Linked DNA regions of Arabidopsis thaliana. The protein of the gene in region 1 interacts with the protein of each later gene in a pairwise test. Each region holds a gene or a part of one and is shown in the gene's direction. Other genes may lie near its edges. The genes, in order: AT1G12630 and SUVR4.

Evidence for each region.
Region 2: the proteins of AT1G12630 (region 1) and SUVR4 interact in a two-hybrid assay, tested with the Arabidopsis thaliana proteins (one large-scale study listed by BioGRID).

What each region holds. Positions count from the first base shown.
Region 1 is NC_003070.9:4,289,953-4,301,223, forward strand, and holds AT1G12630 (Integrase-type DNA-binding superfamily protein), read left to right. Parts: upstream 1-8,713; 5' UTR 8,714-8,944; coding exon 8,945-9,523; 3' UTR 9,524-9,619; downstream 9,620-11,271. Other genes in the region: DDF1 (Integrase-type DNA-binding superfamily protein), read right to left, coding at 253-882; AT1G12615 (pentatricopeptide (PPR) repeat protein), read right to left, coding at 4,103-4,588; AT1G12620 (Pentatricopeptide repeat (PPR) superfamily protein), read right to left, coding at 4,931-6,796.
Region 2 is NC_003074.8:1,156,709-1,170,546, forward strand, and holds SUVR4 (SET-domain containing protein lysine methyltransferase family protein), read left to right. Parts: upstream 1-4,657; 5' UTR 4,658-4,893; coding exon 4,894-4,918; exon of another isoform or gene 4,919-4,934; intron 4,935-5,322; exon of another isoform or gene 5,323-5,335; coding exon 5,336-6,225; intron 6,226-6,418; coding exon 6,419-6,681; intron 6,682-6,764; coding exon 6,765-6,831; intron 6,832-6,933; coding exon 6,934-6,984; intron 6,985-7,273; coding exon 7,274-7,367; intron 7,368-7,602; coding exon 7,603-7,659; coding exon of another isoform or gene 7,660-7,682; exon of another isoform or gene 7,683-7,748; intron 7,749-7,799; coding exon 7,800-7,831; 3' UTR 7,832-8,269; downstream 8,270-13,838. Other genes in the region: AT3G04360 (Calcium-dependent lipid-binding (CaLB domain) family protein), read right to left, coding at 317-1,492; PDLP4 (plasmodesmata-located protein 4), read left to right, coding at 2,722-3,184, 3,441-3,809, 3,894-4,013, 4,244-4,251; AT3G04390 (Aldehyde oxidase/xanthine dehydrogenase, molybdopterin binding protein), read right to left, coding at 8,667-8,801, 8,953-9,057; emb2171 (Ribosomal protein L14p/L23e family protein), read left to right, coding at 10,631-10,643, 10,871-11,155, 11,240-11,281, 11,518-11,600; AT3G04410 (NAC (No Apical Meristem) domain transcriptional regulator superfamily protein), read left to right, coding at 12,129-12,230, 12,369-12,497. UniProt on the Arabidopsis thaliana protein: Histone methyltransferase that converts monomethylated 'Lys-9' of histone H3 (H3K9me1) to dimethylated 'Lys-9' (H3K9me2) in the absence of bound ubiquitin, and to trimethylated 'Lys-9' (H3K9me3) in the presence of bound ubiquitin.

The sequences.
Region 1 (11,271 bases):
ATTACAACTTACAAGTAGATTACACTGTGAAAAAATTATTTCTACAACTGTCACGTTGTAGTTACAAATTGGGCCTAGGCTTTGTATATTAAGATTCATAAAGCCCAATAATTTTATAATTTTATAGGTACAAAGATTCCATACCATCAAGGAAACTTCTAACGCCTGGGACACATCTACAATCTTAAAACTCACATAAATACCTCTTACATAAAAGCTAAATATTATGTATAGTAGATATGTGAGTCCCACTTAATATCTGTAACTCCACAATGACATATCTTCATAACACATCTCTTCTTCCGTGTAAACATTAGTAGGAGTCATGTCTTCCATATACGATCGCGGCGGCGACATTAGTGGCCCCTCCGCGAGTCTCATCATCGTCGTTGAGACTTCTTCGTAGTCTCCAAATCCATACGAAGAAGAATTCCTCTCCTCCGATCCCGAACCAGAGCCGGAACCCGAACCAAAACCCAAATCCACATCATCTCCCGCACAAGGCAAAACCGTAATTCCACTTTCTAAATCCACCGGCCTAAACATCTCCGCAGCTTCCGCCGCAACTCTTCTTATCACATCCGGATCATTGGATTCCGGCACCGGAAGCCGCCAAGCGGAGTCGGCGAAATTCAAACATGCGGATCTCCCACGCAGAGCTAAAACCGCCACGTCGTGTGCACGCGCTGCCATATCTGCTGTGGGATAAGTCCCGAGCCAAATGCGGCGTTGGTGCGTCGGTTCTCTGACTTCGCAGACCCATTTGTCACCGTTCCTCCGCCTTATGCCTCTGTAAACTGGGTGACGTGTCTCCTTAAACACTCTCCTTCCCGCACGCTTCTTAGGCCTCATCTCCGCCAGAATAATATCATCATTATTCATAACTCAAAGTACCAAAAATTCGCCGGAAAACAAAAAGAGACTCCGGTTAACTTAAATTACTGTTGAAAACGTGTTTATTTTTTCTTGTAAGTATTTAGTTACAAAAAAAGATTAAAGATTTGTTCGAATTAAGAGTCTTTCTTCTGACTTAGGCTCTGTTTTTTGTTTTTGCTGGGAGTTGAGAAACAGAGAAGTGAGAAAGAGGGGTATATATAGGCTATGGTTATGGGACCCACAGTATACGAAGTATACGCGCGTAGGACACATGTAATCTTATCCACGAATGCATTTATTAGCTGTTAGCCGTTATAACCTAAAGTTCTGTCTAGAATTTATTAATTGTGTGAGCTTGAACCCACTAATTAATTAAAGAACCCTCTTAAAAAAGTGTTTCTTCTTTTAAACATTGTAGGAGTTAATTTGGCACATTTTATTTAACTGTAGTTTTCGTCATCAGTCTACAAATTCGCAACCTAAGTGCATACGACTGACATATATATACATATATATATTAGTTTTTTCCATACGTTTTACGACTGACATGTAGTATAATTTATAGTTTATAACAGTGTTTCCCTTTGTGGTCTGTTTACCAAATTACGGGATTGGTCTAATATGAATATATGATTATAATCTCACAAGTAAGAGTGCATGGCTTATGGCTATTAGAACTAAAATAAACGAAGAAGTTTCCTGAATTCAACATGACACAAGATGAACAATCTTCTTACAGTTTTAGTCAGATATTAGCTTTTTCATCTTTTTGTTGCAATTTCATTTAAAAAAATACTAAAACTGTATCTTGCAACAAAAAGATGAAATTCAAAACTAGGAAAAGGTTTTCTTACAAAATCAGATTAATTATATAAATTTGACTATCAAAACGTTTACGACAAAATTATTTGATCATCGTTGTTTTTTTGCACGATGGAAGGATATGAAATGTAAAAAAAGAAAAGAAAAAATGAAATGTAGAAATATGAAACGAAAAATGAAAATATATTACATTGGGCAAGAATCATATAGATAATATTTATACCATAAAAATAATCACCTCACTTAAATTTATTGGGTTTTCTGTTCATTTATATACAATCGTTATGTTCGTTTTGATATTTTATGAATGGTGGTGAAATACGATATCAAAATTATCCATTTTCCTCCCATATTTCATCAGTGCCAGCCAATGGTTTTAAAATAAATACCGAGACGAAGAACATTCTTGGAATCTTTTGGTCAAACATAACTATTTGGCTTAGTTTAACTTTTACAAGTTAATAGTATTAAATTCGGGTAGTTGGGTCCAGCTCTACCATGTTGAGATTTTGGGACCAAAATATCCATTTTAATTAGAATCTTATTTCGATATTTGTTTTGTGGATATAACACGTGCCTCATTTCGATACTAAGGAAATTAGCTGTGAGTAACACGTGGGATTTCCGTGGGAACTATTTCTTAGTACTACTACGATAGTACTTGCACATAACATGTGGTGATTAAAACTCATTAAATCCCTCTTTTTATCAAACTAAATTATGAAAGAAAAAACTAAATTATGAAAGAAAAAATAAATCAAACTTTGGTATTAAACAGAAGATAGAAATTACCACATTGATCGTTCAGTTGAAACAGAAAGAATGTGATGCATATCTCGAGATCTATTAGAATACATTAACATGCAAGTTTAATTTATCACATTTTAGTCTCAATTAATTAAAAAAATGAATGTTTAGTGAATTAATGAATTCCTCTAAATTGTAGATGCTCGCTAAAAACCTTTCATGCAAAGTAATAGACGATAGTGACGATGCTGATGTTGAATGTTTGATAACGAGATAGAGTACAGAAAGAAATGTTGAAATTATAAAGTGAAAACTTTAGAGAGACAAGGAGACAACGTCGGCCACAAGAATTAAGGCTTCATGCTGTCTCGTGAGTGTCACATGCGCGTGGCCACAAGAATTAAGGCTAAAGAGTTAAGATTATTTTGTTCAAAAACAAAAAAGATTATATATTTTAGGTGAATACTTTAATGTTCATTATAGCCAATTATATGTATATTCCGTGTATTAGTAATTTGCCGAACTTACTAACTAAACAATTTTTTTTTGGATTATTAACTTTATAAGATATCAAATGATAAACAATCTGTCAAAAAAAAATAAAAGTTATGTCAGCAATGATAATATGCTACGTCAAAAAAAATAAAACAATGTGCAAATTATATACTTCCTAACTAATCCCTCCCAATGCCAACATCTTTGTTGATTTAGTAGACAAACTACGGAAAATTTCTTAAATCATTTCTTTCAACAATTTATGAGCGCAATCCCATCTGCCATTACGACAAAGACCGACTATTACAGAATTACGTGTTTGCTCTTATCCCCTTTCTTTCCATTTTACTTGAAAGTTTCAATGCTTCATCTAGTTGTTGTTTTTGGCAGAGAGAGTGAATGATTGCACTGAACATGATAATTGACACACTACAAAAAAAAAGTATTTTGAATCGCTTATTTTTTATATTTGCATCAATTATAATTGATGCAAATGAGTTTTATATCACTTTTATAAGTGACTCTGAAATTGGTGATGCAAATTATGTGCATCGTTTCAAATAATTTTGCATTAATTGCAAACAATGATGTTAATTTTACACAAATAATATAAATGATATTAGTATTTGCATCAATTTATCAAAATAACGTTAATAATTGTTATGGTAATAATAAGTAATGTTAAGTGTTTATATCAATTATAAATAACTAATGTTAAAATTTGTAAAATCATATTAAATATATATTTAGTAAACAAATTTATTTAATTTTATTAATTAATATAAAAGTAACGATTATATTTGTTTAGTAGAAATAGTTGCTTATTAAACTTTACACTTTGTATACAATAAAAATAGTTGTCTCTTTTTTTCATGGGAGCGATGTGGGACTTTGACAAATTAAGTAACCTATTAAATCGTTTTTTACAATTGATGCTTAATCTTTAATTAACATCATTTGTTATTCATGCAAAAGCAAATTCTTAGGATTGTATCAATTTTTGTGAAAGTGATGCAAATGTTCTAGATTTGTATCAGTTTAAATAAAATGATGCCATATATATCAATAATAGCATTAATCATTGTAACTGATGTTAAATATTTATTTGTATTAATTATAAATAAGTGATTAAAATTAATATCACTAAATTTTTTGACACAAATTATGTGATGTGAATGAGTATTTTTTTTTTTGTTGTGACATCTTCGTTATCATTCTCCATTTTTCTAAGCAACAATATGGCACTTCCATGAAGATCTTGCTTGCAGAGTCCGCTTATAAATGTAGATTTAGTAACTGCATTTGGTTGACAACCCCTTTCAAACATTTGATCAAGTACACCAGGCACTTGAGAAATCATATTACCATTAAGCAGACCTTTAATGACAGTGTTATATGTCACAACATTAGGTTTGTAACCCATAGCTTTCATATTCTTAAACAAAGTTGGTGCATCATAAACAGAAGCATTTTCCTCAAGACAAAAAGGCCTGAGCAACGTGGTAAATGTGAACACATCAGGCTCATGGCCAGCTTTCAACATTCTCGCTAATGTAGACAAAGCAAATCTCAGCTGCGAGCAGTGACAGAAAGCATTTATCAGCAAATTTAGGATGTAGGTATCCTGTTCAATTCCAGCGATTTCCATCGTGTTGCCAAGACGGATCACATGATCATTCTCGGTTCCGATTATATTTTTTTCTTCTAATTTTGTTTTTTGATAGCGATGGTGTGTTTAAGCTACAAATTATATCATTTACCTATACATATTTGTGCAGAATTTAGCAAGTACAATCTGAAAAGCAATGTAGACAGATGAACAGAGTGATAAGGAAATTATGAGCTTGCTTTCATGCCCGGAGAATGGTTATAAATCTTGGTGGTCGATCTGCTTAAGAAAAATGTTGTGTACATCAATGTTGTCACATATGAAACTCCAACTTAGTCTTTCAATGCTCTGAGACGGTAATATGATGTAAACACCAAAATTCTAAGAAAGCATATCCAAAAAGCTTTTCTTCAATCTACCATCCGATAACATATCGACAACCATCTTTACCGTGGAAGCATCAACTGAGAACCCGCACCTCTTTATTTCTTCAATAAGTTTAGCTGATTTGGTTGCATCACCTTCTCCAAGATGTGCCCTGATGAGTATGTTGTATGTACAACCATTTGGCGAATGCCCATCCTCTTCCATTTTTCTAAACAACAGGTCTGCTTCAGACAGTGAGCCTTTCTTACACAGTCCCCCAATCATTATATTGTATGTTTTGACATCGGGCTTCACTCCTTTGAGAGGGAGGCTACAGAATAAATCCCAAGCATCATCCACCTTACTAGCATTGCACATCCCATGAATGATGATGTTATAGATACCAATATCAAGCTCCATCTTACTCTTCTCTATTTTTTCAAATATTTCCAGCGCTTTTTCTGGTTCCCCATTGTCACACAACCCATCGAGCAAAATTTTGTAGGACACAATATCAGGACGAACACGACGAGAAACCATCTCTTGGAAGAGTTCTTTGGCAACTTCAAGTTTTCCCAATTCACAAAATCCTTGGATAAGAGTGTTATAAGTAACCGTATCTGCAACCACTCCTCTCAAAGACATTTTGCGGAAGAGTTCCAAACCATCGTCAATCAGATTAGCCTTACAATATCCATTTATGAGGATATTAAACGTCCTGATATTAGGACCGCATCCTTTGCTAACCATCAGATCCAGCATGTGGTTGGCCTTATCTAGCTGGTTCTCCTTGCAAAACCCATCTATCAAAGAAGTGTACGTAACAGTATCAGGAGATATGCCTCGTTGTATCATCTCCTTGTGCAGTTCTTCAGCCTCTCGAAGCTTTCCCTCTTTCACAAAACAATCTATTAACGCGCTGAAAGCGACCACGTCTGGTGTGATTTTCCTTTTGATCATATCCCTCAGCAACTTGGCACCATCATCCCATCTACCAGCGTAACAAAAGCCTCTAATGAGAGTGGTGTAGATAATAATATCAGCTTTGAACCCTTTGATTTCCATTTCATTGAAAAGGTTGAATGCATTGTCGAGGCTCCCGTCTTTGCACAGACCATCAATGATGATACTGTATTTGACTGCATCGAGCTTGATCTTTCTTTCTTCCATCTTTCTGAGCAACTCCATGGCAAGGGCAGTTTGGCCGGACTTACACATTACTTTTAAAACCGGTCCATAAGTTACTTCATTGGGTTGAAAGCCAGTCTCAACCATTCGATCAATCAAAAGCACAGCATCAGAGACTTTACCGTTGAGACAAAGTCCATTGACCAGAGCGTTAAGCGTTATGAGAGTGGGTTTATGTCCCATTTCAACCATTCGATCAACTAATTCCAGAGCTTCGGAAACTCTACCCTCGAGACATAATCCGTTTATCAAAGTTGAAAATGTGACTGTATCAGGCTCATACCCAAGTTTAATGATCTTCCCCATAGCAGAAAAAGCCAAAGAGAGTTTACGACATCGACAACAGCAATTAATCATAATACTCAGAGTGTAGAGGTTATGCGCAATTCCCTTTAATTCCATTTGCTTGCAGAGATCTAACACTAGATCATATTGCTTTGTTCTGGCAACAACACTAAACAATCTACTGAAATCAATAAGACGAGGACGAGGACGAGACCTAGTCATTTCTTGAAACAGATCAACAGCATCATCTTCCTTGATATCAACAATCCCACTTCTCAATCTCTCTCTATAGGAGACTTTCCCTTTCCCATCACTGACACTAGAAAAGACTCGTCCATAGCAAGACAAGAATAAAGCAGTTCTTAGAGTACCTGTCTCGAGAAGACGTGTCTGAATCAATCCCCGCATGACTCAAGTTAAGAATTTGAAAGCTCTGATTTAAAAAAAAAAAAATTGGAGTCACGTCTTCGGTTTTGTGCTGATTCGTTTGTTCGGCTTCCACAAGCACCAATGTCTGCTCATTACACCTCTTTCACACACAATAAAACAAAAAGATTTAAGCTTTAAGAACTTCTGATTCGGAAATTTCAACAACGATGCTATATATGGGTACCTTGAAAGTGAAAACTTGAAACCTTCCAATTCTAGCGAGTTATCGAAATTGTCGACCCAATTCGCCAACAAGGTGGCACTAAATCTACAGAAAAGAAAACCCAGACACATCGATACGAAGAACGAAGCAATGAGAAACCTGAAATCTTTAGATTCGAGAATGCTTGAAGAACCGGGTTGAATGTACCGGATCAGATAAAACCGGGTTGTCTTTAACCTTCTGTTTCATTCGGAGTTGTTGATAAAATGTTTTTTTTTTCTTCTCCTTTTAATAAAATGAATTTGTTTTTTTTTTTCTTTGTCGACCAGATTAATACTTAATAGGATAGTTTTTTTTTATCGACCACGTTGAACTTCAAAAAGTTTTTTTTTTTTTTGGTTGGTTAGTGGTTACCCAATTTGAAAAAGGACGAATTTATTGGATTGAATTTGATCCTTGAAGATCGAGCTAAACAATTTTACCATAAATTAACTACATCAATAAAAGTAAAAAGAGAAAAATAATGATATATATCGAAGCACACTAAACTTGTTTAAGATGTTGGAGAAAACACTAAACAAGGAGATATTACCAAGTTGACTAATTACACATCTAGATTAAATTCCTGATAATACATCTCCCGTGACAAAAACTTCGATATTGTTCATATCAACGCTTCTGTTTCCGTATGTAAAAGTGAAAGACTTCGTCTTTAACATTCGGTTCCAAGAATCATCACACTATCGTCCACTTGCGAGAAGATCCATCATAATCTCAATGTTGGATATGAACTCTCCCAAGATCCACCATATCTTTGACATTTTATTTTATGAATGTTTTTTTTTTTTGGTTAAGGAGAGGTTAAGGACGTTGATTCGGGCCGAGAAATTGTATTTTATTTTTATGAATGTTTCTCACCAAGATGGCATTTACTACTGTGGGTTTTTAACTTCCTTCCAAGCCAATATTCGTCGAAGCCCGTTGGACACCCTAATTTTGCATTATCGTTCCGGTGGTTTAGCATTTCTAATGTAGCTATAGTTAGTAGGTTAGATTTTACTATTTGTTTAACAGCGATGTTATTATAGTCGATTGTAAAGTATATATATATATATAAGTTTTTCTTAATTTATGTAGTTCAGTCATTTTTCTCTTATATCGGATATGTCTATGTGATCAACTTTGTTTGTGGCATTCTCGTCAACCATTCTTAATGAATTTATATGATAATCAAAACCAAAACAAAATTGAACCTTCGATATGCATCTTTCAACTAATATATGCGTATGCTTCATATGATTAATATAGCTTAAGTATTAACATATATTTCGAAATATATATGTTTATATGCTTTGTATTGATTATATATAGCTTACAGCCTTAAATATTAACTAGTAACTAAACAAGATAACTTATCGGATAAAGTATAAATTATATATATATATATATATATATGTTTTTTTTTTCTTTTTCTTTTCTAAATACGAGATATATATATAGTATAAATTATAGTTTTTTCTTACTCAATTATTATTACAAAAATAACCCCAACAAATGATGACAAAAAAAAAAAAAAACCCCCAACAAGAGCCAACACACTTTCGACAACCCCAAGTGAGAAAGTGAAAGAGAATAACAACTGTGTGTTAAGAAAATATTAGTGAAATAACCCTTTTCTTGATTCATTTCGTATTTGAATATCAATCTCTCACTAAACCCTAACTAATTCAATTATAATCGTCTTTACAGAGATATACAGAACACATATCTATATACTGTTTACCTTTCAGTTCTATATATATGTGGCTGATGGTCACCATATAAATCATACCAAATGTCCCTGATCTTAACCCAAAACTTCTTCATCTTCTTTAATTAGTTTGCCACCTCGCACGTGTGACAAATCCTTCTTCGCCACGTGTGAAAACCCTTCTCCGGCTTGCTACTAATATACGACTAATAGTATGAATAGTTCAATGGCTTCTGCCGGCTTAGGTAGCCGGAGAAAGGATCCGGTGTACAGAGGAATCCGGTGCCGAAGTGGGAAATGGGTCTCCGAGATTCGTGAGCCGAGGAAAACCACGAGAATCTGGCTTGGAACTTACCCCATGGCAGAGATGGCAGCAGCCGCCTATGATGTGGCTGCTATGGCTCTTAAAGGAAGAGAAGCTGTCTTGAACTTCCCTGGATCCGTCGGGTCATACCCGGTTCCTGAATCAACATCCGCAGCAGATATACGAGCCGCTGCGGCAGCCGCAGCAGCAATGAAGGGATGTGAGGAAGGGGAGGAGGAGAAAAAGGCAAAGGAGAAGAAGAGTAGTAGTTCGAAGTCGAGAGCGCGTGAGTGCCACGTAGATAATGATGTTGGATCTTCGTCGTGGTGTGGGACAGAGTTCATGGACGAAGAAGAAGTCTTGAATATGCCTAATCTGCTGGCTAATATGGCAGAAGGGATGATGGTTGCGCCGCCGTCGTGGATGGGTTCTCGGCCGTCGGATGACTCTCCGGAGAATTCAAATGATGAGGACTTGTGGGGCTATTGATCGGTTTGTGTTGTCCACGTACGTATATGTAATCATTATTTGTTCTTGTTGCTTTTTTTTTTTCCGCCCTTAATTATTTCACTTGTATGATATATCAAATCATATGTTTAATGTTTTATTTAAGATTGTTTCTACTTTCTTGTATCGTTGAATTAGGGTTTGCGTTTGGAGTTTTTAGGGTTATCAACTAGGGCTTAATTAGCCTTATAGTGATCCTCCTTTAGTTTCGCGACTTCACGTTTTGATTTCAATTATTACTCTTATTCCTATTTGCATCTTCTTAGTCAAGAATATATTTCATGTTCTTAAGTTTGTTTTTGTTCAATATAAAGATGAGATTATGAATATTTAATATAATAGCTACTCCTTATATACATGAACTAAAAAAAGTCTTTGACATATATATATCTTCAGGTGGAACATAAAAACGGAGGTTTTTTTTTTAAATAACACCGCAATTTAATTCGGCAAAGTTTCATGTTTGTCAATCAAAGATCCAATAAATATGATGAGTATAATATGAATATATGATCTTTGTGGAATTTCTTCTCTTGTTTATTGAGATTAGTCTTTTTCTTATATAACCCATGATCAATTTGTTTCGAGTCTTTTGACTTTCTATGTATCATTTTTTTGCGTTTTTTCTACATACACAACATATATCTATCTATTTTTCGTCACATGTTCGTTGCTCAGATATATATTCGGAAATCCATCCAGCGATCTATATTCCATTTAATTCGTCTCGTAGTGATATATATGTTTTCATATGAATCAATCGATTGATTGATGCTTATTCACACAATGATACATATATTATATTCATCTAGTGTTCCTTTTAAAAAGTTTTGATGTTCCTGAGTTTCCTTTTTTAGATATGTTTTTGTTGTAAAGGTTTTGCCATATATGTATAGACATGAGTGGTGTTTTCTTACTGGGTCATTTTTTGTCGTTTTCTTTAAATTGTGACACTATCTTGCTAATAAAGTGATATATTTTTGTATTAAAATCTTAGTCTTAACTATATACTCCATCTGTTTTACAATTATTGTCATTTTGATAAATTTCATAGAAATTACAAAACTCGTGAAACATTTCATTATGTATTTGTAAATCAAATTAAATAAACTCTTGGTATATTCTAGTTTTTCATTGTAATTTGGTTTTACTTAAGAGTAAGACCATATATTGTGTACTTAACACAAACATTTATTTATATTGAAATATTAAGAAAAAACTTATTTTGAAAAATAGAAACGATGATAAAATGATATTCTGTTTTGAAATGCATAAAGTATCATTTTATCGAATTCAAATATACATATAAGCTTTTAACGTATGGAGAGTAAATAAGAATTCTTACTTGAAACACGAATTAGTAATATTATTTGTGTTAAAATTCTAATTTAAGATATAACGCCAAAACGATGGTGCAAAAGGTTTTAACACCAATGTTTTTACCTGAAACGGACAAAAGAGAGGTTAATAAGAGAGGTGACCATGTGGCTTTTCTTTAATCATATCCGTCACTAAGTTCTATAAACTTTAGCTTTACAACTTTTTAATATTCTATCTAAAATCACACAATATAGTGGTATTTTTTATGAAATTTTTAATGGATTTATATTCTTCAAAAATGGTAAAGGTATTGGTCAGACCAAAGAAATTTGCCTTTTGTTTTAAATTATGTAAACGTCCTATTTATAGTTTTATAAGAAATTTAAGAATTAATTAACTAAAATTAACTC
Region 2 (13,838 bases), on another chromosome or scaffold:
CGACATTCACGGCGAAGAGATAGAGAGGCGTTGAAGTTGTAATTGCGTAAGAAAGAGGAGAAGGTTGATGATGAAGTTATGGTGTGTTAATGCGTTTCTCAAAAAGCTCTCTTTTCTTTTCCCTTTCTTTAAAAGCTTTTCACAATAACCCCAGTATTATACAAATATTCAAATTAGTCCATTTACCAGAAATGTAACGGGAAAGTTTATTCATACGTTTTAACCTCAATACTTTCAAATCTGTATGGTTTAACCCATCATCAAACGTTTTACACCACCAAAAGAAACCAAAAATAAGTAAACATTTTCTCTTATCTCAAGTCGCAGAATGACTAAACGTTTCGTCTACAGCACTAAGATTTACTACTTTATTGTTATTATATCTCTTCTTTGTGCTGTCTCCTTCTCCGCCGCTTCCACCGCCACATGTTATCGAAATCTCACATCCAAACACGTTTCCAAAACATGAAAACAACCCTTTCTTACCCTCTCCTCCACCGTTTCTCCTCCCTTGTTGTTTCTCCTTTCTTCTCCTCCTCCTTCTTCTCCTTCCCGCTCCTCCTTTCCCGCTAGAATCATCGCTTGATCCAGCCGCTCCACCCGCTCCACCCGTGCCATTTTTCTCTGCTCTCCACCGTTCAACTCTATGCTCAATTCCCTCTGTTTTCCCTTCAAGTATCGAACTTGCGTCCTCTTTGTTAGCCGCTTTAACCGCTGTTTTCTGTCTATTGTAAAGCCCTTGCGCAATCGCAGCCGCAACCACAGACGCTGATGGTCCAATATCAGAGCTACAAAGCGAACCATTAACCATACTATCCGCACCAACAACAATACCGCCACCACCACCACCTCCTCCTCCATTGCCAGTAACAACCCCTGTTTTCACACCGTAATCATTCGTAGACGTGGTTAAATCCGTTTGATCGCTATTCGTACGGCGATGCATCATTCTTGAAGCCTCTTGGTCTCTTTTAACACTATTCCTCTCTCCTTTTCGACTTCCATCGAAAACCTCAATAGATAAAGGCATACTCCGTTGACCACCGTCAAGAAGTGCAACACCGAGACGTAAAAACCCTTGTAGCCTCCCTGAAGGACGACGAATCTGAAGAGTCACAAGCCTCATGTTGTTATTCCCACCACCACCGTCGTTACCATCACCAAAACCAGACCAAGGAGCAAAAAGATCGCTGAGAAGAACATTCACAGTACCAACAAGAGCATCTTTAGCCCAAGCCGCTGCGTAGATCTCAATCACAATCGCTGATGCGTCAACGTAGAGAATCTTGTCGTTGACACGAAACACAAACTTCTCGTTCCATATAGGGTTAGCTCTGTTGGATTGATCAACACGCGTGGTGAGTTTTCTCATAGGATCGGTGTTGATCCAAGCGACGGAATACGTTTTCATGTTTCTTGAGACAGGGGCTAAGTCTTGAGCTGAGATTAAATTGATCTCAAGAACCGGACATGCGAACTTGAGCCGACCCATATTTTTTTTGTGTGGTTTTTAAAATCTAAATGGATTCGTTTAATCTTCGCAAGAAGCGGGAGACCTTGTTTTGGTCACTCGTCTCCGTGAGAATGATTATACGATCAGTTGTTGAGAGGAGAATGAGAAGGAGAATAAAAGGAGAGGTAAAGAGGGGAGCGTAAGATGAGGAAGGAGCTTGTGGTTTTTAGACATGATAAGAACTAGACCGTTGGTTTATTTACTGTCATATTCAACGGAAAATTTGTTATAAAAGTTGGAGACTTTATGGAGACAGACATTATTTCTTTGACTCTTTGGTCTATGTTGATCTAAATATTTGTTTGTTAAGAGTTTTGACTTGTATCGGTGTAAAGAAAAAAATAAAGATCTAGTCAAAGAGAATGAAACTCTGTCATAACGAATTAACGATATTTACGGAAGAACAGGGGAATTTCTTTTTCTTCTAGCTCTTTGTATTTTTCTTCTGTAATTTTAGGCTTTTTATATATGTCAGCGCTTGTTTTTCTTGGCAAGGCAATTGAGATTCAAGACATCATATAAAGCAACTTGAAATAAAAGTTACGATAAATATTTAAAATTTGATTGGTCTTACTCTAATTCCGACTATTTCGCTCTCACACAACAAAAAAAAAACATAATTTAGGGTTGTTTAGAATTTCCAGTGTATTTTTAATTTAAATCTTGGTTGAAAACTATGGAAATTTGTTAGGTAAATTTAGTTGAGCGGATATGTTTGTTAGTTTGTTACTGTCTAAGACTTCATCGAAAGCTTTTCTTACTTTCAAATTACATACATTTACGTACATTATTATTCTCTTACTTCAAACCAACACTAGTAGTATTAAAAGAATTGAATAAGGGTTAGGCTAAGAATCAGACCTCCGCTAGTAGCCGAATGTCATTTTTAACATATTTTGGATCAGCCAGTTCCACAAATTGTGAATAATATTACTGTTTCACTATACATAAAATCATTAGAAAATTGTTAAACTAACCTCTAGGATCATATTCATACCAACAAGAAGAAAAGATCAAGAAATCGTTGGTGTGCTTAGCACGTGCGCTTGACGACCTCCTAAGTCACAACTAAATCTTTAACATATGTAGACAAGTGGTAGACATACGTAGACAAAATCTAATCTACCACAACTTCCCTCTCCATTCACCAATGTATATATTCAATGAATTAAAAATATATCTCTCTTCCCTGTAGTTTTGACTCAAACATGGTTGTCCACTTGATCTCTCTCCTCACACAAACCCTAGCCCTAATCATTCTGTCTCTTCCCTCTATCATCAACACTTCTCAACTTGATTACGACACTCTTGTTTTCAAACAATGCGATCCATTGGACGCAAACATCCTCCAAAAAGCAACAACAAAATCTCCAAATTACTCGAATCAGAATCTCTTTCTTCGTGCACAAGCCCTTTCTTCTTTCTTACGCAAACTCGAATCAGAATCCTCTCGATCTAAATTCTTGAAGACTCTAGTTGGTAACGAAAAACACGCTGTCTCTGGATGGTTCCAATGCAGAGAAGATTATCCGAGTGAGATCTGCCATAAATGTGTTGGTGATCTTCGTGAAATTTCGTCTAGATCGTGTGGAAATGCCACGTCAGCTCGTATTCATCTTCGAGGATGTCATTTGATATACAAATTCGAACGTATTGATACCCCTGGCGCTCGTAAGTATTCATCTTTGTTGTTGACAAAAAATCATAAAATCGTGTACAGAAAAAAATGGTTGGAAAATTTCTTACTTATTTGGTCTTATAGTAAAATTTCTTATACTTTTATCAAAAAATATATTATTTCTTAGGTATATAAATTTTCCACTCGCGAGAAAAATTGAAGGATAGTGATAAACAAATTAAGTTGAATTCACATTAAAGTAAACGATTCATTACGTAAAATAAATATGATTCTTGTTATTTTTGGAAGAAGTTAATAATCATCACAAGTACAAGTTATTTGAGACCCCGGAACACGGTCTCATCCACAAGATATGCGATGGAGCTACCGCGGAGACTTTCCCCGGATTCGAAGAGATGAGGACGGAGGCACTCACTGCAGCCGAAACAGGAGTTGTTGACGGTCACGGATTCTATGAGGATAGCTACAAGCTCCTCCACGTTGTGGCTCAATGCGACGGCCACGTTGAAGCTTGCGATTGCGGCGAGTGCATAAGTTCAGCCGCGGCAGCAGCAGCAGAAGAGTGTCGGTGGTCCATAGCCGGACAAATATACTTAGAAGGGTGCCACGTCGGTTATACATATCACCCACATGAACTTCCCAATGATTCATACCACGGTACGTACAGTTATTAAAGAAAACTGAACCAAAACAAATATCAGTTGATTATGTACTTAAGTTGCGAATTGTTTCTTTTGACAGAAGAAGGTTCAAAAGTAAACACGGGGAAGTCGTTGGCGATTGTTGTAGGAGGAGTAGCGGCATTGGTCTTTGTTGCTATCTTTTTTATGTTCCTAAAAAGCTTGCGGAAAAAAGGAGATGGTAAGTTATTACTATTAGATTTGATATCGTTTTACTCTATTTTTTTTTAATTTGAAAACATTATAATGTAGAGACATGCTAATATAAACGAAACATGCTAATTATAAACGAAAATATTAGAAACTTATAATTATATAGATCCCATGTTTATGAAGTTCTTACACAAATGTTCTAACTATTTAATTATGTACATACAAAATTGAATTGACTAATTAATTATCCTATTGCAGATTGTTGAAGGGTACATGATCAGAGAGATGTTGGGAAAATAATTCTGTTCCTTGTATTTGTTCTACCAACCAAGGAAAACCTCCTTCTTTCCATTTTTCGATTGTGGAAATAAAAGTGGTAGGATACGTAATTAATCATGTAACTATTTGCCCTAAAAGTTATATAACATCCTTTAATAACTACGACGTTTGCTTTAACAAAAAAAAAAAATAACTACAGTACGACGTTTGAAGTAAGAAGATTATATATTTATGTTTTGTAACCCCCAGAACTAATACATATCACGTTATAGCCCATAACTTTTATTTAATTATGCTGTGCTTTTTAGTCAATGGGCCTATTTTAATGGACCTACACAATCATGGAAATAAATCTGGAAATAAATCTGTCCACGACGGAAAAACAAAATCTATAAACAATTGTATGTATACTCACGCACGACGCAGTGAAACAGAGATACTGTGGAAAAGTGTGTTTAAAATGGATCTGTTTTAGGGTATTTATCAATTCGAAAATTGATTAATTTATTAATTTCGTAAGCTTTCACAGAAAGTTCGAACTCTTTGCATGCAATCATTCGCCGTCTTCTTCCACAATTGTGTTTTTTAGCCGGCGGCGGCTGGATTCGAGAAGCTTCCGATTGTTCTGTATGATCAGTCTCTCCGGACTAACCAGTAAGGTTTTTTGTTTGTATGTTACGCATTCTCTTTGCTTTTCTCATGCATTCTCTTTTCTTATTGTGTTGATCAATGTGGGTTCTTACTCCGCGAGTTGCAGAACGGTTTAAGCTTGAAATTTTGAAAAATGTTGGAATCTGTCTTTGTCGATTTGATGAGATCGCCGTTTTTGTTTTGTTTGGAATTGGCATAAATCTGTTTTTAGGGTTCTTGATTGGTGAGATTTTTGGATGATTGTTGATAAGGATTGGGTTTATTCAAAATTCGCAGATCTTTAAGGATAGCTGATGCATTGATGTGTCTTTACTTTGGTGATTAGCAGTTTCATACATATGAACCAGATTATATTTTATCACTAGAAAACTAGTAATTTGGCATTTTTTACCAATTAAGATATTTAGTGTGTATTTGCAGGTTCTGTTGAAAGTGATCTCGATATGCAACAAGCGATGCTCACCAATAAAGACGAGAAGGTACTCAAAGCTTTAGAGAGAACAAGGCAATTGGATATTCCCGATGAAAAGACAATGCCAGTGCTTATGAAGCTCCTAGAAGAGGCTGGTGGCAATTGGTCGTATATAAAGTTGGATAACTATACTGCACTGGTCGACGCTATTTATTCTGTTGAGGATGAGAATAAGCAAAGTGAAGGTTCATCTAATGGTAATAGAGGGAAGAATCTTAAGGTCATTGACTCTCCTGCTACTCTGAAAAAAACTTACGAAACCCGTTCTGCATCCTCAGGTTCCTCCATTCAGGTAGTCCAGAAGCAGCCACAGCTTAGTAATGGTGATCGCAAGAGGAAATATAAAAGCAGAATTGCTGACATAACTAAAGGTTCAGAGAGCGTTAAAATCCCTCTTGTCGATGATGTTGGGAGTGAAGCTGTGCCAAAGTTTACTTACATCCCTCACAACATTGTTTACCAAAGTGCTTATCTCCACGTGTCTCTGGCTCGAATCTCTGATGAAGATTGCTGCGCAAACTGCAAAGGGAACTGTCTTTCAGCTGACTTTCCTTGCACTTGTGCTCGTGAAACCAGTGGAGAATATGCTTATACCAAAGAAGGGCTGCTAAAGGAAAAGTTTCTGGACACCTGTCTTAAGATGAAAAAGGAACCAGATTCGTTCCCTAAAGTTTACTGCAAAGACTGCCCTTTGGAGAGAGATCACGATAAGGGCACATATGGAAAATGTGATGGACACTTAATCCGAAAGTTCATCAAGGAATGCTGGAGAAAGTGTGGATGTGATATGCAGTGTGGAAATCGAGTAGTACAGAGAGGGATAAGGTGCCAACTGCAGGTTACATTTCTAGGATACTACATTCAATCTTATATGCTGACCATCCTATTTTAAATTAGTCTTCTATATAGCTTCTTGGCTTGATGTCTGGCACCCTCATAATTTTGAACTATTTCTATGATTTTCTCCCCGTTTTTTTTGAATTATTATTTTCTCCTTTCATTTGTTTGACGAGCAAAATATATTGTTTCAGGTTTACTTTACTCAAGAAGGGAAAGGATGGGGTCTTAGAACACTGCAAGACTTGCCCAAAGGAACCTTTATCTGTGAATACATTGGTGAAATATTGACCAACACGGAGTTATACGATCGGAATGTTAGGTCTAGTAGTGAACGACATACATATCCTGTAACTCTGGATGCAGACTGGGGTTCTGAAAAGGATCTAAAAGATGAAGAAGCTCTCTGCCTGGATGCCACAATCTGTGGAAATGTCGCAAGGTTTATCAATCACAGGTATTAATCAACGCTCGTTGTGCTATGATTTTTTCGTGCTTCCCTTGAGAGTTTATGGTTCTTGTGAACTTTTGTTGATGCAGATGCGAGGATGCAAACATGATTGATATTCCGATAGAGATAGAGACGCCTGACAGACATTATTATCATGTAAGTATCTGTTTTCTCCACTCTAACCTGATCTTCCGGAAAGCAGTGATTGTGAAAGTAAATTTCAGTGAGCTTAAGGAGTCTGGGTTTGGTCATGTGCAGATTGCTTTTTTTACCCTACGAGACGTGAAGGCCATGGATGAGTTGACATGGGTAAGCACCATGATTAAGCTACCTTAGTTTTAACTACTTTGTATTGACCACATAGTTACAAATACTCACATGGCTAAAGAAGTTTTGCGCTCTTACTGTGGATATTGCACTAAAGCTATTAGATTAGAGCATTCTGATGATTTTGCCATTCTAGATCTCTGGTGTGTTTGTAGATGACTTCATCAATAGAGAGATGGAACCAAACACGTCTTTCTACTGGTCCCATAACGTTATCCTCTCTTGAGTTGTACAGATACTCAATTCAAAAAACCTGTGTTTCTAATCGCAGGATTACATGATAGACTTCAATGATAAAAGTCATCCTGTAAAGGCATTTAGATGTTGCTGCGGAAGCGAATCATGCAGAGACAGAAAAATAAAAGGTCAGTTTTCTTTACACATTGCTTTTGTTGTTCAAACCTTTGTGACAGAATGCTGGCTTACTTCCTTCGTTTGCTTACACATTCTAAGTTAGATTTTGTGTAGTTTCGTATGAGATCCGAGCCAAAAATATGATTTGGCAAAGTACATTGATTCACAGAAATGAAATGATGCCACCAAAAAAAGAGAAACTATATTTCTTGGCTAATTATGCATTCCGGTGATATGTCATGTCAGGATCTCAAGGCAAGTCTATAGAGAGAAGAAAGATTGTTTCTGCTAAAAAACAACAAGGTGAGAAAGAATGTCTAAGATGATATAACCTTAGAGGCTTAGCATCAATTATCCCTGCCTAAAGCTTGAGATCCTTTAGAATTTCTCTAAAGTGTATGATTCAGTCGTTGAGGTAACAACCGCCAATTCTTAAAATGCAGGTTCCAAAGAGGTGTCTAAAAAGCGCAAATGAGACTGGTCATTATTTAGAGTTAAACATTAAAGAAAGCATGAGCTCACAAAACACTATGATCCATCGCGAGCTCTGCATGATTCAACTAGCTTTTCCTTCTTGATGACATATACAACTTTTATGGTCTGCAGTTTTTTCTCATTTACAATCTCTTCTTTAGGTAAAAAAAAGTGTTATGTTGCCTAACCAAAGAAACTCACTGTTTAGTTCTGTTCTTCAAATTTCATGGCATATGTCAAAATAAATAAACCTTTTTTAATAGAGTTCTAGAGCGTAAAGACTGGATCGAAAAGGAGCCCATCACTGGTAAATTCAGCCAAGAGTGATCCATCGCATCAATGATTTGTAATGTTAAACAAAATTTTAATATTTAGACTTAGAAGTTGTAATTTATTGGTTTATTTTGGTCATCATAGAAGAATTATTTACATATTTTATATTTTTATTTATACATTGTTGCTAGTTTTTTTGGAACTATCAAATTTTACATTCTTTGTTTTTTTTTCTCCAAGAAGTTACTGATTTGAAGAAACCTATATCTTTGTAATGTTACATGTACTGGAGACTGGAAGTTACTTACATATATGACTTTGACCAACATTTCTATTCGGATTAAACAAAGTATAATCCTAGGTTCATCAGTTCCAAATTTGTTTCTACCAATTCAGAAGTGCTTCTTCTTATGGTTGCATACCTTGAGAAGAGAAAGGGAATGTTGTGAGTAAAGCATCTTCTTAAGGTATTTTTTAGTTTCCAGGTCCGCAAGTGAGTAAAGCTCATGGTTTAATCCATGTATGAGCTGCATCTCCCCACTTGAGCTCTTCGAAAGCTACCCTCAGCGAATGGTGTTGAAATTGTGTTTAGATGTAACAGGCTCCAATTTTGCTATAATATGCTTAACATCGTCTAAAACTGCAGGACCATACATATCAGAGCTCGCAGAAGCAGCAGTAGGTGACGCATTAGGAACCTATTAAGAGGCAATCAAAACGACAAGAGAGCAATAAAAGTTTGTGAGGCATTTGGAACCTATTAAGAGACGACAAAAATGATAAGAGAGAACAATAACAGTTTTGTCTTGGCCAAAGTCCACAGAGTACATGTAACCGAGTTAGAGGTACCTTGTATGTGCTTGTTTCTGACACAAAAACCGAACTAAGGGGAATGTTAAAGGCCGCTGCAGCAACCTTTGTATGCATATCCTTAACCCATTTCAACACCTCCATGTGTCACCAAAACAGTCCCATTGGTGCAAACATGAACAAGAGCACCGGAAGTATCTTAAAATCCAGATTCTAGATTTGCAAGCAACGGTAGTGCAATGCTGAGATTTCCAAACAAGCTTTATATTATTCTTTTAACTTTAAAGTGAATCCTTTTTCTAGCAAAATGAGGACAAACTTTTACCAATTTTCACATTTTTAGAAAAATATTCAACTCACTTTGATTTCTTAAGGGCTCAGCTGAATCTAGTTTTCAATGTCTGCAGAACAAAATGAAAATGAAAATTTTATTATCTCAAAATCCATTCTATTTTTTTTTTGTGTGACATTAATCAATGATTTCAAAATAACCAAAAACATACAAATTTTATGTTTCATTCTTATTATTATCAATTTATCATCCTCATCCTCCCTCAGCTCCTGAAAACTATGTCGTTTTGGAAAATGACGAAAATACCCTTGTATCTGTATTGCTATGTAAACTACTGTTGTTTCAACAAACATAAAATTTTGAAAAAGTAATAATAAGAATAAAATAATTTATTTCATAATCTAAAAAAAAACGAATAATCTAATAGATTGAAGGAGGACTTAATAATTAGAACAAGGTTATATAATTAGATATATTCTTTTTTTTTTTAAGGTTATATAATTAGATATATTCGTTTTTTTAAAAGGTTATAGAATAAGATTTCATTGCATCTTAAAACCAGACAACTTTCAGAACTGAAGAATGACGAAAAATTAATAATAGAGGAGGAGAGGAGGAGCTACATCAACATTATTTCTATTTTTTCAGCCAATCAGAGCGCTCCGGACTTCGCCCACTCGCACCAACCTCGCGCCACGCGCTCCATTCCATGCCCACTCGCACCAACCTCGCGTTGAACGCGTGTCGTCGATTTCTGTAGGGGTAAACCCACAAAATCATGCCTATTTTACATCTACTCGCTTTGTTTCCAAAACAGCCTCGAGTGACTTTTTTCTTTTGTTTTTTTTCTCAAAACCGTATTAATTCTAATGCAAACCGAACCAAAATTAATTTTTATTTCAAAACCATCTAAACCAAACAGAAATCACATGTAATTTCAAACCCGAACCGAAATCAATTGTCATTTCATCAAAACCATGTAAAAAGCTTCTACGATTGTTTTAACTTGCAACTGAAAATAGCAATCCTAATTTATCAACAGATAAAGATAGATACATGCAACACTTTACTTTTTTATTTTTGGTTTTGAGAAGATGATTACAGTTGTGATTTTGGTGGAGACAAAAATGTCCATCTCTGTATGTTGCTAGCCGATCAAATTTTACATTCAAAATCCTTTTTGATAAAAAAAATAAAAAAATTCAAAATCCTTTATGATATATTGGGCCTAAGATGATTTCCAAAAAAAAGATGATGAGAAAAGAAAGAGAACATTATTGGGCTTATTGTTAAATTATTTCGGCCCATAAAATAAAGTCCAGGTCAGCTCACAATACATGAAGAAAACCCTAGTTCAAGCGTATATAAACCCTCTCGGCGCTGCCATTGAAACTCTTTCAAGGAGAGAGCTGCTACTCTGCAACCATGTCGAAGCGAGGTAAAAAAACGTTTCTTCATCTCTAATTCGCTTAACCTAATCTGTGTACATCTCGTATGAATCATATCCTGTTTTCGCTTATTTTCTTCATTTCACTTTCAATGACAATGGTTTTACCCTAATTTCTATTAGTAAAGCTTCTGGATCATGAATATTAGTCTTATATGTCTCTACTTTGGTTGATAGTGTTTAGATCTGTAACTTTTGTGTTTGTTTTTTGTGAATAGGAAGAGGAGGAACCTCTGGTAACAAGTTCAGGATGTCACTGGGTCTTCCAGTGGCAGCCACTGTGAACTGTGCTGACAACACCGGAGCTAAGAACCTTTACATCATTTCGGTTAAAGGAATCAAGGGTCGTCTTAACCGTTTGCCATCAGCGTGTGTTGGTGATATGGTTATGGCTACTGTTAAGAAAGGTAAGCCTGATCTCCGTAAGAAGGTGCTTCCTGCTGTCATTGTTAGGCAGAGGAAGCCTTGGCGCCGAAAGGACGGTGTCTTCATGTATTTCGAAGGTAATCCTTTGCTTTTCTTCTCTGTGATTTGCATTTCAATTTCTCTGAAGTGTGATTGTCTGATAGAAAGTTTTGGTTTTGCAGATAATGCTGGTGTCATTGTCAATCCCAAGGGTGAAATGAAAGGTAAGAAGTTGATGTTTTTGCTTATTTGTTATTGAATTCTCTGGTAGATGTATGAGTTGTTTATGTATGCAAGTTTTGATAACCTCCTGATGAGTTAGTAGTTACTAGAGGAAGTATTGTGTATCTGAATTTATCTAGAAGTTTGATATGGGGCAACTCAAAGCCAATCTCGTAGTGATAAATCAGTAGTATCATATTTACTTGTAGCTGATGAGTCTGTTGTGTGATGTAATTAGGATCTGCTATCACTGGACCAATCGGAAAGGAGTGTGCTGATCTGTGGCCAAGAATCGCAAGTGCTGCGAACGCCATCGTTTAAGCAAGCTTGAGATCTCTATGTTTTGTGTTGAACGTTTAGCATTATCTCTATTTGGGATTGTTTTTTGTTTTTGTCTTAGACTTTTGTTATGCCTTAAAGCTGATTCTAGTTCTTATAAGAACCTTCGTTTCTCGTGCCAGTTTGTCACCTCAGTGTTTTAGTCTATCGTAAACTTGTGATTTGATTCACTGGTTCTTGTGTTTGTTCGGTTTTGTTTTAAAAAACATAGAATTCAAGTGATTCACACTATTTTGTTACGCAATTAGAAATATGTTTAGGGCGAATCAATTGTGTGAACAGACTTAAGTAGAGCCTAAAAATTTGTATATAACTCTTATATTAGCAAGTCAATTGTGGATTTGGGAATCTGTTTTTCAATATTTCATGAATAATAGGAAAATTGTGTATATATCCGTCTTCTCCCTCCTACCAAAAGAACTTGCATAATAGCAACAATGGCGAAATACTTCTGATCCCTCTTTTTCTCTCCATTTTTTTTAAAACTGAAACTTTATTCACTCTCGAAAAATGGTGAATCCGGTGGGTTTCAGATTCCGTCCGACCAAAGAGGAGATCGTCGACCATTACCTCCGGCCAACAAATTTCGATGGTGACACGAGCCATGTCGATGTAAGTCATTAGCATAGTCGAGAATGCTATACCAAGTTGGTTTAGTGGGTTTCTTGATGTGCGTCAAGATGCTCAAATCGAGAGGATGCTATACCAAGAGAGGAATGGGAAACATGGTTGAATGATGATGATAAACAGAGGAATATCATGTTTATGCAAGATAATCGCAATGATTACAGACCTCCAAACTCATTAACTGGTGTCTTCAGTGATTGTAGCAGTGATGATAATGATTCTGATTTACTATCTCCAAAAACAGTAAGCTAAATTCTACTATGTTCACCTTTATAATCCTCTGTTTCAGATTTCACCTCACAAAGCTATAATTTCGGTTGATATCACAGAATTCTATTGAAACTCCAAGCACTTGGGACAGTCTTGCTGGCTCAAATCGTCAGATAGGCCTAATCAAAACTCAACAATCTCCTGACTCAACAATCTAGTTAGTGTCATTAACTCAAGAGGTGAGATTTATTATTTACTTTTACTTTTAATGCTAATCATGTTACTTTGTTTTCACCACTCACAACATTGGAACCAGATTAAAGAAATTCAAATTGTTGATTCTTTCAAAATATTCCAGGTGAGCCAAGCTCTGGGTCAAGGGACTGAGATTTGAGAGCATAAATTGGGTCAAGAGAAGATCAAGAAGAAAAGAGCAAGTTTCGTTTACACGATGATACAAAGATTAGTCAAGAAAATTCACCAATCTTCTTCTATCTCAAGAACATGATAACAATAGATGAGACCAAGAACACCGTTTAGTACTTTTCCAAATTTGTAGAAAAGTTATGTCTCTCTTGTTTTGTAACCTTGTGACTGTGAGTAGTGAGTACTCTTGTGATATAGTGAGTGGTTATAGAAGAACAAGTTGTATGAATGTCATGTCTATCTTTTTTTGTAAATTTTCCCTATTGTATGTGTGCCCCAATATATAAAACCGGTGAATTTGTGATATAATGAGAAGTGGTTCGAGAAGACAAAGTTGGATAATTTCATTTCATACACTATACAACTAATAAAATGGTCAAGTTTTCATTGACATAGCAATCAACATCGAGTCTTTTTAAGTCCTACCTAATACCCCCAAAAGATTTCAGGTTCTCAACAAGAGAAAGCAAGGATAATATCAAATGAAGATGCTTCTATTTTAGACTTTTAGTCTACATCTTACGTGCAGCATGTCACTTTTATGTTTTAAGTCCAAACCCCATTAGACTAAGAGAATATTACGTGATTAGACTCTTTAAAACACTTTAAATGGAGAAGACACTTTAGATAAATTATTTTACTTATTTACCCTTTAACTACATTTTTTCCATCGGTCATCTTTTCTCTCTCCTTTTCCCATCTCTTCTCTCTTTTTTTCTTTTTTTTTCTCACTTTATCGAAGAAAAAAACCTTTCCGAGAGTATCTTCAATTCCAAATCTGCAATTAATCTCCAAATCCACTCAACGCGATGGCTTTCTTTAAGATTGTTAATGGGTAAATAAGTAAAAGTTCTAATAAGGTTAATCTCCGCAATTTTAATCTCCGCAATTTTAATCTCCGCAATCTCCGCAATTTTAAATGGAGAAGGCACTTTAAATAAGCAAAATAAATCACAA